Linked DNA regions of Sus scrofa. The protein of the gene in region 2 purifies or fractionates together with the protein of the main gene of each other region. This does not show direct contact. Links are inferred from orthologs where the notes say so. Each region holds a gene or a part of one and is shown on either strand. Other genes may lie near its edges. The genes, in order: PAK2, ARHGEF7 and GIT2.

What was found.
Region 1: the proteins of ARHGEF7 (region 2) and PAK2 purify together in Homo sapiens (co-immunoprecipitation; 5 studies listed by BioGRID and IntAct, with this or other methods). This does not show direct contact. The link is inferred for Sus scrofa from reciprocal best matches to the Homo sapiens genes ARHGEF7 and PAK2.
Region 3: the proteins of ARHGEF7 (region 2) and GIT2 purify together in Homo sapiens (affinity purification with mass spectrometry; 6 studies listed by BioGRID and IntAct, counting the BioPlex papers as one, with this or other methods). This does not show direct contact. The link is inferred for Sus scrofa from reciprocal best matches to the Homo sapiens genes ARHGEF7 and GIT2.

Annotation. Positions count from the first base shown.
Region 1 is NC_010455.5:133,310,416-133,314,063, reverse strand, and holds part of PAK2 (serine/threonine-protein kinase PAK 2), read left to right. Parts: intron 1-1,719; coding exon 1,720-1,827; intron 1,828-3,610; coding exon 3,611-3,648. UniProt on the Homo sapiens protein: Serine/threonine protein kinase that plays a role in a variety of different signaling pathways including cytoskeleton regulation, cell motility, cell cycle progression, apoptosis or proliferation.
Region 2 is NC_010453.5:77,426,055-77,430,174, reverse strand, and holds the start of ARHGEF7 (rho guanine nucleotide exchange factor 7), read right to left. Parts: upstream 2,824-4,120; 5' UTR 2,600-2,823; coding exon 2,435-2,599; intron 1-2,434. UniProt on the Homo sapiens protein: Acts as a RAC1 guanine nucleotide exchange factor (GEF) and can induce membrane ruffling. Functions in cell migration, attachment and cell spreading. Promotes targeting of RAC1 to focal adhesions. May function as a positive regulator of apoptosis.
Region 3 is NC_010456.5:40,998,854-41,002,501, forward strand, and holds part of GIT2 (ARF GTPase-activating protein GIT2), read left to right. Parts: intron 1-1,706; coding exon 1,707-1,840; intron 1,841-3,485; coding exon 3,486-3,598; intron 3,599-3,648. UniProt on the Homo sapiens protein: GTPase-activating protein for ADP ribosylation factor family members, including ARF1.

The DNA.
Region 1 (3,648 bases), on a different chromosome or scaffold from region 2:
TAGTTTAGCTACTTTTGATAACATTTCTATATATAAACATGAATACAAAGAACTTGCCAACAGGCTCAGTGGAAATGAATCTGACTAGTATCCATGAGGACGAAGGTTTGATCCCTGGTCTCACTCAGTGGGTTAAGGATCTGGCATTGCCATGAGCTATGGTATAGGTCGCAGACGCAGGTGAGATCCCACTTGGCTGTGGCTGTGGCTGTGGCTGGCAGCTGTAGCTCTGATTTGACCCCTAGCCTGGGAACCTCCATATGCCGTGGGTGCGGCCTAAAAAGAAAAAAAAAGAACTTGCCAACATTCTCCTGTAGCATCATCCTACTGAATATAGACTATGGAAATATACTGAATAATGGAAGCCTGTTAAAATCTTCAGAGTTGTCTGAAATTTTAAGTTATCATGTAAGCACAAATACTTCCTGCAAACAGTTGTTTTATTTTCCATTCCTTAATTTGGAGGAAACAATCTCCTGGAGTTATTTGACTGCATATAATATCACGTAAAATACCTACCTAGCGCACACCTGTCATATAATAAACTCTGTATAAAGGATGATGCCTTGGAGTTCCTGCTCTGGTGCAGTGGGTTAAGGATCTGGTGTTGCCACAGCTGTGGGGGGCAGCCAAAAAACTTAAAAAAGGATAATGCCTTTCTCTTTTCCTTCTTTAGCCACAACTTTGTTGGTGAATCTGGCTGGTTTTTGTTTTGGCTGCACTTGTGGCATGTGGAAGTTCATGAGCCAGGAGTTGAACCTGCTCTGCAGAAGTGACAATGCTGGATCCTTAACCATTAGGCCACCAGGGAACTCTAGTCTGGCTGTTTTAAATAACTGAGAATGACTCTAACTTATACAGAGCCCAGAAGATTTTTGGTTTTGGACTTAAAAAATAAAGTGATTGTTTATTTTTGAACTAGTTAAAAGGCATGAATTCTCTCTTAATAATACTGGTATTAGGGAGTTCTTGGCGTGGCTCAGTGGCAACGAACCCAACTAGTATCCATGAGGACGCAGGTTTGATCCGTGGCCTCACTCAGTGCGTTAAGGATCTGGTGTTGCCATGAACTGTGGTGTAAGTCACAGATGCTGCTCAGATCCTACATAGCTGTGGTGTAGACAGGCAGCTACAGCTCCAATTCAGCCCCCAGCCTGAGAACTTCCATAGACCTCATGTATGGCCTTAGAAAACAAAACAAAACAAAAAAAACCTGTTATTGGGGAGTTCCCATTGTGGAATATCAGAAATGAATCTGACTAGTATCCATGAGGGTGTGGGTTCTGTCCCTGACCTTGCTTAATGGATCAGGGATCAGGTATTGCCGTGAGCTGTGGTGCAGGTCACAGATGAGGCTCGGATCCTGGATCCCACGTTGCTATGACTGTGGTGTCGGCTGTTAGCTGTAGCTCCAATTCGATGCCTAGCCTGGGAACTTCCATATGCTATGAGTGTGGCCCTAAAAAGCAAAAGAAAAAAGAAAAAAAGAATACTGGTATTTACTGTATATATCTGCTTTATAAACTTACTTTTCTATAATGTATACAATTGCCTTTACTTTTTAAAATGATTATAAGATTAGTACTGGTGAGGTTCTATTGTTTTGAAGTGAGCTATTAAATAGTTTTTTCAGGTATGTTAAAAAGGAGAGGTAGTCATATTCTAAAGTATCCTAATACTTGACTTGTCCTCCTTCCTTTGCTCATGTGATAAATGCAGCTGCATACCAAGGGATCGGAAACGTCAGCAGTAGTAACAGAGGAAGACGATGATGATGAAGAGACTGCTCCTCCTGTTATTGCCCCACGACCAGATCATACAAAATCAGTGAGTTTCTGATTAGTGAATTAGATTGTGCGTGTCCGTACCTGTATGTTTTTAACAACAGCTGTCTGTATTCGAATTCCAGTGATTAATTTCTAAGAAGTCTTCAGACTTAAAATATTTCAGTATGAGAAATTTACCTAAACACTAGTCATCAAAAAACTAGTTTTCTTTAAAAGTTAAAATAGGAGTTCCTGTTATGGCTCAGCAGAAATGAATCCAGTCCGACCAGGAACCATGAGGTTGCAGGTTTGATCCCTGGCCTCGCCCAGGGTGGTAAGGATCCTGCATTGCAGTGAGCTATGGTGTAGGTTGCAAATGCGGCTCAGCTCTGATGTGGCTATGACTGTGGCGTAGACCGGCAGCTGTAACTCTGATTGGACCCCTAGTCTGGGAACTTCCATATGGCCTGGGTGTGGCCCTAAAAAGCAAAAAAAAGAAAAAGTTAAAATACTTCTCTCATTGTTTTTTCTTTCTCTATTACACCATCTTTTCGAGGGAGTTCATCTATTTCTCTACCTTTATCTCAGTACAGATAAGTACTGTATCTAAAACTTGGAGCTTACCTTTTATCCAAATTATATATTTGATCTCCCATTTTACATTTTTCTCAAAGCCTTCACAAGGCTGCTCAATGAAATTTCTAACAGCTACGGGAGAATTTTAACAATAACAACCTTAGATAGAGACAGAAAGAGTCTGCCTTGTTCTGATACAAATAAAAGCAGCAGAGTATGGTGAGGTGTTGGCACAATAGACAAGTAGGGCTCGGAGGACTGCCATTGGACCCTCATCTAGTGATAGAGAGCTGTGTTTTCTTTACTACTTAGAAATGGCTGTTTGAAATAAAATGGTGGAAATTATATTTATATAAAAAGTTTTATGGAAATTAATGATAGTTCAACATCAAGATTTCCATTATTTTGCTCTGTATTTCTCTCTTTTATTTTATTTTATTTTGTCTATTTTTTGGCATTTCTTGGGCTGCTCTCGCAGCATATGGAGGTTCCCAGGCTAGGGGTCCAATCGGAGTTGTAGCCACGGCCTACACCACAGCCACAGCAACTCGGGATCCGAGCCTTGTCTGCAACCTACACCACAGCTCACGGCAACGCCGGATCCTTAACCCACTGAGCAAGGCCAGGGATCAAACCCGAAACCTCATGATTCCTAGTTGGATTCGTTAACCACTGAGCCACGATAGGAACTCCTGTATTTCTCTCTTTTAGAAAAAACATTTTCAAACTTGTACTATGTTTTTTGCTTCTTTTTTATTATGTTATTTTAGATCTGATTGTACTTAGATTTATTTCGTTCACAGATCATCTGCTTTGCTACAGAGACTTTTAAAATACATAAGTGGAGGAGTTCCCATTGTGGCTCAGTGGTAATGAACCCGACTACTATCCAGGAGGATGTGGGTTCAATCTCTGACCCTGCTCAGTGGGTTAAAGATCCAGCATTGCTGTGGCTGTGGTGTAGGCCGGCAGCTGCAGCTCTAATTTGACCCCTAGCCTGGGAACTTCCATATGCCACAGGTGCAGCCCTAAAAAGAAAAAAAGAAAGAAAAAATACTTATGTGATGTACCAAAGAAAAATGTTTCACGTTTATTCCTCTTAGCTCCCAGTCTTTTATAAGACAAATCTGAAAATCTTATTCTCATTCTTTTGAACACAAGAGACAGATTACTTTGTTGTTGGCAAAAATCAAAGAACTAAATAGTGTGCCAGTAAGAATAACTAAAAATACTGTTCTTCAACTCTAATTAATTCTTTCTCTCTGCAGATTTATACACGGTCTGTAATTGATCCTATTCCTGCTCC
Region 2 (4,120 bases):
AACTTCCCGTTTAGTCCTCCAGCCTCTTGCCGGCCCTAAGACAGAACAAGCCAACATCGAGCACAAGACCTACCAGGACATGCTTTCTTAATAAAAGGCACATGGGAGCCCTGCGCCACCCCGAACCTTCTCCCGATTCTGCGCTATGCTCTCCCCAGCCTGAGGGTTTGTTTTAAATTTTGTGCATTTGCAAAGGTTAAGTTGCAGGCTGCCTGCACCCCGATAACCAGTCTCCTGTGTGTTGATGTGGCAAACTGAGGTCAAGTTCAGATCCTTTCGCGTCCACAGGAATACTCAGTGAGGTTCCCAAATGTTCCTTTTGAAGGAAAAACATCCTCAGACTAACATTCCAACATTCGAGCAAAAGCTGTTCACCGCGTGTGCTTTCTGGCAAACGCTATCTGCTGTGCATATACAAACATCAGAAAGTTCAAATAAATACTCTTCTGAGGAAATGGAACGGGCTCGTGAGACTTCTAAAACCCAGGGGTTTTTAGAGGCAGAGAATGGCTAATATTTTACTCCCCAAACCTACCTTTGTACCACAGAGAATGTGCTACTTTGATATTGAACTTTCATTGAGATTGTCCCTCTGAGACAAACAAGTCAGGGGCGGGGGGTGGGGCGGGGGGGTAAAAGGTTGGCTGCACTGTAAGAAGTTTCCAAATGACCAGTTTTAGGACATGTTGGGTTGTTTCCGTTGGGCTTCTGCGCATTAAACATGTTATTCACTCCTCTCTTTGTTGTTTCCGAGGTGAAAGGAATGCTATGGTTTTCTAAGAAAACCGTTCAACAATTTAAAAGAAAGTGATTATTGAGGTCTGCCAATCAATAGGCACGCAGCGAATATGCCAAATAACACATGCATCAACAATGACAGGTTTTGGTCAAATAGCCTCTGAAGTTTCTCAAAGCTTCACTCTTGGAATGGAACCATTTTTTTTACATAAGCCCATTTTGGTAAAGTTAGCCTGCATTTTCAATGCGTTTCAACATCTGTCTTTTATTACTAGAGGTCCTGATATCCAGATAACAACCAAGTATTCTGTGCCTTCAAAGTTAGCTCCTGCTCCTTATTCCTATCTTCAATCATAATTTTATTGTGACATCAGCTTCATTTAGAAGCACCATTTTTATTTCCTGGACAGACAGACCAGGGCTATTCATCCTAAAATGCAGATTCTGCTTTCCGAAATATGTTGCAAGTAAGAAAATACCTAAAACTCATATGTATACACAACTCATATCACATAAAATCTTTTCTGACCTTTAAAATGCCATGCCAGAACATGAGCAAACTTAAAAAGATTAAACATTTTACTTTTTAAAGTCACCTAATTAACATTTTATTATTAGCAAATTAATACTGTGCTGCTGGGCCGATATACTCCATTTTTCAAAGTTAAATAGTATTTCTCATTAGTCTGCACTTTAATTTCTACATTTAAACCATTTAAGTAACTGCTGATATTAAGATTATGTATTGGCAAAAAAAAAAAATTAGGATAGAATTGCAGTGTTTTTGAAGTACAGGGATCCGCCGCTCTACCCGCTCGCCCCTACTTAGTCAACGGAGCCGGAGGAAGCAAACTTGAATCCCTCGCAGAGTTGTGGTCAAGGTTCACACTCCAGCCCCGAGGAAACCACCAGGCAATAGAAGAGACGTCTCCAGGACTAGGGGCTCTGTTTAAAATCAGGTAGGAACCTGAAAATGAAATCTAGGATCTTATGCCAGACTTGAAGAACGCCGGGGCTTTCCTGCGCCTGCCATCTGGGCTTGGGGACAGGGGAATTGTTCCGCGGGGAGGGCAGCAAATCATTTCACAGCCCACCCTCGGCTATTGATAAATGCATCTTTTAAAAACGCACCGCAATCGGTCAGTTAAACAGAGGGCGAAACTCTCACACGGTACCACCAACAAAAGCTGTTCAAACAAAGCCTGCGAGGCAGCTGTGCGCGGCGCTGGAGCGGTTGGTTTTCGGCTCGGGTCGCGGAGAGGGGCGACTCCTCCTCCGGGCGGGGCAGAGCGGAGCGCTCCCCTTCCCTCCGGGCCTCCCCCCGGCCGTTCCCCTTGAACCCGGCCCGGCCCCCTCCCCGGCGGCCACCGCACACAATGGCGCCCCGAGCGGGATCCCGCCACCGGGTCCTCGCGCCGCCAGCGCGCCCCCCGCGCGGGCCGCGTTCCCGGGTCCGCGCACAAAGGAGGCGCGTGGGCTCCGCGGCGCCCGGCGCTCTCCCGGCCCGCGCGGCCACCAGGTGCCGGCGCCGGCGACCCTGCGCCCGAGCGTCTCCGCGCATCCCGGGCCGCGGCGGGGGCCAGGTGGGGCGCGAGGCCTCCCACCGCCCGGGGCTCCCACCGCCCGGACTCCTCCCGCCGGGCCTCCCAGCGCCCGGGCCTGTCCGCCGCGGGGGCGCGGGCCGGGGGGCACTCACTTTCTCGATGGTCCCGGGGAGCAGGCGCTCCAGCAGCCTGCAGAGGACCACCCCATCCTTCAGAGACGCTTGCAGGAAGCCCTCCGGGTCCGAGATGGTTTTCTTGGGCGACTCCAGCACCCCCAAGGTAATGAGCCACGTAACGGTCTGCTCGGCGGAATTCATAGCGGCGGCGCGCCCGGCCTCCCCGCGCCGCGAGCCCGTCTCGGCGCGGTTCACCTCGGAGCGGCCGCGGCCCGGCCGGCTGCGCCCACCGCCCCCTCCTCCTGCTCGCCCATGGAGAGGCCGGCGACGGCGATTGGCTCGGGCGGCGCCGCGGTCCGGCCGGCTCGCGCTCCCTCGCGTGCGTCCTGGCCGACTGTCAAGTGCCTTTTCATTAGATGCACATGAACCTGCGGCGGCCGCCCGGCGCCGCCCCCGCCGCCGCCTCCCGGCTGCCAGCCGCTGCCGCCGATGACATCACTGCGAGGAGAAGAAAGACGCCGCGCTGGAGCGGCCCCGCGCCCCGGCCCCCGGCCTCCCGGCCCCCCGACCCCCGGCCGCGCCGGCACCCGGCTGCCGCACACGCGCCCCCGCGCCCGCCCGGGCCCGCCGCCGTGCGCCCTCCGCACCCGGGCCGGCTGTGCGCGCGCGTCCCCACCTGCGCCGCCGGGTGCTGGGCCCCCGCCCCAAGGGCCCGGTGACCTCCAGGAGGCGACAGCCCGCCGGCCGGGGAGGGCTCGCCGGGCCTCCTACCCTCCGGGCCGCGCGCGCCCGTAGCCGTTGGCGCCCGGCGGGTCCCCAGCGCAGCCCCCTCTGAGGCGAGAGCCCAGCCAGGCTCCTCTCGCCGTCGGGCCCTTCCGCCGCCTCTTCCCTCCTCGGAAGCCCCGGAATCCTTTATCTTCTAATTCATGAACGTTATTTTTGCCAGGTTTTTTTTTTTTTTTTTTCCCCAAGAGGTTGGGGGCGGGGGGAGCTGAAAACGAGACGTTTGCTTCTCTCAGCTACCTTGCAAGCCAATAATTACCGAACACAACGATAATTAAATCTGTGACCAGATGGGCCTAATTCGGGGAGGAACTGATTTTCCTGAGGCTGCTGCCATCCTTGGGGACAGGGACGCCCCGGAGCGTGGCGCGGCCGGGGTCACGCGTGCCCTCTGCTGGGAGGCCCGTCCGCGTGCGTGACCTCACCGGCCGGGATGCGGTGGTCCCACTCTCCCCGACCGGAAGCCTTGGAGCCACTCGGCTTTAACTTGATGGCGCTGTTTCAGACACTGTGGGAGGAAGGTCAGGAACACAGCAGAGCCTGAACTGGATCTGGGCAGATGATCCCGGAGGAAGGACGGTGAGGACAGCTCACTCAGTCCAAACAAGCAACCTGGCTGGACTGGCCCTGAGCAAGAGGTCTCAGTCAGAGACCTGGCTGCGTCCGAATGGGCCAGAGCTGAAGAGCTCAGCCGCCCAACTGCTAAGCCACGAAAAAACTTCTTCAGAGGAGGGCTGACACACACCATCTTCTAAGGAAGGGAGCGTCTCTCCTTGGAGGGACCCAGTGTGCACTTTGCCTGTTTGCGGGCTATGACTGCCCGGGGCAATTTAAGACAGCATTCGCAGTCACCTACAGAGAACTTGCTCTGTGCCAAGCACATATGTTAATGCAATTGGTGACAAAGGCCAGAAAACACGAAGATTAAAAAAACCCACA
Region 3 (3,648 bases), on a different chromosome or scaffold from region 2:
AGTTGTACCTCACTGAATAATTTTGTTTCTGTCTTATTTCATGGCAAACATTTGATAACCATGATCAAATCTTAATAACTAGTTTTACCTTTAAAAAAAATGAATCTAGTTCATATCCTTCTGTGAGTTCAACTACCTGAAAATTCCCCTGAGATTTTTCACTATAGTAATACAGTATTTGTGTGAAACAGTCAGTGTTTTAAGTATTAACAGTCAAAACCTTTTTCCAATGGTCATGAATTTCGTTGGCTTTTGAAAATATTTGAATGGTACTTACCAAAATGATTTAGAAACGTTGTAACAGCTACCATTACGGAGTACTTCCTATATGCAAGGAATTTTGCTTGTTCTTTATATCCTCACTACCCTGGATTGTGTTGTTCCTCCAATTTGATCCATAATGAGGACTCTCAAAAAGAAATAACTTGCCTGAGATCATTGTGCAAGAAGTGGCAGAGTTGGGGTTCAAACCCTGGACTGCTTGTCTCCAGAGCCATCCCTCTTAACCACTACACTCTCTGACTCCTGATTTGTCTTTGATTGAAATCCCATAACTTTTCATTTTATGGCTAGAAAGGGTTTGAATAAACTGTTAAAAATGGTAAAGATGGTGTACATGCATTTTCGAGATTTTTGTGGACATTGAAGAATTTTTAAATATAACCCTTAAGCCAGGCAGCTTGAGCGGCAACTATTGTCACTCCATTGTGAGTCTGATGAAATGTAGAAGGTCTGTCTTTATTTTGAATTTCTAAGTGTCTAGTTTACTTCCCCAGTGTGAATTATTCATACTGCTTACCAAGTGTGAATTATTCCTTGTTTCAAAGGATGTCTAATGAAGCTCTGTAGGACTTCATAGGAAAAAAGTATTATATGCACACCAAAAGTATTACTCTAGGGAGGTCCCTGGTGGCTCAGCAAGTTAAAGATCTGGCATTTTCACTGCTATGGTGTGGGTTCTATCCCTGGCCTGGGAACATTTGCATGCCTTGAGCGAGGCCAGAAAAAAAAATCACTCATTTGTATTTTACATCTTTGCCTCTGTGAGGCTGCTGTTTTTACAACTTCTGTTACTTCAGATCAGCTGTGAGATCGGACTCAGTAGTTTATTTACAACTACTAATGGATATCATAGCACATTTCTTACGGAGGAGTCTAGGTTTCTTAGTCTGTCTTCAGAACCACAGCAGTTGAACAGTTTTATAGTCATGTATGCTTGCAGCTTTCTGCTAAGCCCAGAGGCAGGTAGATATGTAGCATGTGTTAGGGTAGCCATCTTTTTACTGCTCTCTTCACATGTCGCTCTGCGGATTGTCACTGACACAGGTATGTTATCTTGCCATTTGTGGAGATGGATTCAAAATGATTCATGTGAATGCTCTCAACTTGCTTCTTTTACACTGAATGAAAGAGCACACATCTGTGATGATAGATCATATTAGGGTGTCAGATTGTGGCCTTGAACCAGAGAGGAGAGAAGTGCTTATTTAGGGCTGTAATCAGGTTTTCAGTCTCAGTAGATTTGTGCCCCCAGCCAAGGCAGGGGTTATCTTCAGACAGGCTCACCAGCTTGATATGCTGACTAGCATACTAAAACAACAAAGATGTCCTGTTTTTCTGAAAAACCAAATCTCAGTCATCTTTTGCCATCTGGCGGTATAGCAACCACTTGGTATCCTTGCCACTGATTTCATTCTTCTTTCCAGATCCTTCCTGGGCATCAGTAAATAGGGGAACTTTTATATGTGACGAGTGCTGCAGTGTCCATCGGAGTCTAGGGCGCCATATCTCTCAAGTAAGGCATCTCAAACACACACCATGGCCTCCAACATTGCTTCAGGTAAAGAATAAGAATTCTTCTCATGTTTGTAATTTACATCTTTAGGGCTCAATGTTTTAGCAACTAAAATTATACTTCTAAATCATAATTGAATAGAAGTGCCATGCTTATCAATGCTATATACAAGTATTAAATTCATCATTTAAGATTCTTTTTCCCCTCCTAATGTAAATCTTGTCCCAAAAACTCAGTTACAGGCAGTCATTAAAATTTCTTGCTTATGTTTCATTGCTGACTTTCTAAAATGTCACCAGAAGTTGTTTTTAAAGCCCATCTTTTCCACGTACCATGATCAATGTTTCTTAAAGTGACTGCCCTTTGAAACTTTTCATTGTTTCCTGCTTTGATGGAAGCATGGACTGGGATTCCTCAGAAATTTCTGAAACATCTGATTTAGGTTTTCTTAAAGTTCTTATAACTAGTTAGAGACAATTAAGTTATGTCTGGATTGAATGTCTAACACCCTGCTAAGTGTTAAGTGGGCTCTTTGTTTTATTTGGGGGTCCATTGTCATGTCACCTGTACTTCTATTTTGGGGTACACATTCTTCAAGTTCTGTTGGAACTCAGACTTAAGCATGTGTTTCGCCTTCATTTGTCTTGAGGACATATTTTACTGAATCTGTGGCAGCTGCACAACACATCCCTTAAACTTCCCTATATGAACCAAAGGATCGGAGCAAGTGAGCTTGGATCTCTGATGTGACAGATATCTCCGCTAATGTAAAAAACGAGGAGTAATGTCAGGAGTCATGCTTTGAATTGAAACTGGGCGATACGGCTTATTAATAACTTTTGCTAAGAAGTTTCTAACAGCTCATTCTCATGTGAAAATGGATGTTTACTGCTCCCAGATTATACAGAGTACAGATTATATTATAGATCTGAATAAAATCCAGAAATGAGTAGTTTAAAATGCCAGAGTTGGAGCTCCTGCTGTGGTGCATTGGAATAGGCAGCAGCTTGGGACTGCTGGGACTCAGGTCCAAGCCCGGCACAGTGGGTTAAGGAACTGGCATTGCCACAGCTGCAGCTTAGTTTGCTGCTGTGGGTTAGATCTGATCCCTGGCCTGGGAGCTCCCTATGTCAAGGGGAGGCCAAAAAAAAAAAAAAAAAAAAAGCCAGAGTTGACCCTAAAGCAGTTCCCAGAAGGTGGCATGTGAACACCAGTGTTACTCAAGTTAGATGTAGGTAATACTCAAATATGTATTTTAATGGTTGCATAAAACTATAACTAGCACATCAAAGTATAATTGCTAGGGAAAGTTTTAGAAAGTAAGTGGGTTTAAAGAAAAATAATAAGTGGATAGTCTAGATGGTACCTAGGTTTTTAAGTAGCTTGAAAACAGTATTTGAGTGCTCAGGCTTGGGAAATACTGCCCTAATATGTCAAAGTACTCTTTTTTCATCATCTATGAGAAAACATAATCAAACCTCTATAAGTATTTAGCTGTCCTACTGGTCAAACCTGAATCCTGCATACAGGTTCATCTTTCTCATTCTAAATTCAGAAAATACTAATGTGCGTGATATCCCAGTCATGCTGTTGTTTGTAATGGGGCTTTGTGTTTCTAGTTTAGTTATTCATTTCCACTGGATATTTGTGAAAAGAAATTAAAATAAGATTTTATACTGCTTGGTTTTAGATGGTTGAAACCTTATATAATAACGGTGCTAATTCTATATGGGAGCATTCTTTGCTGGACCCTGCCTCTATTTTGAGTGGAAGACGCAAAGCTAATCCACAGGATAAAGTACAGTGAGTGGAATGTTTATAAATACTCTATTTCTTTGTAACCCATGGGGCCC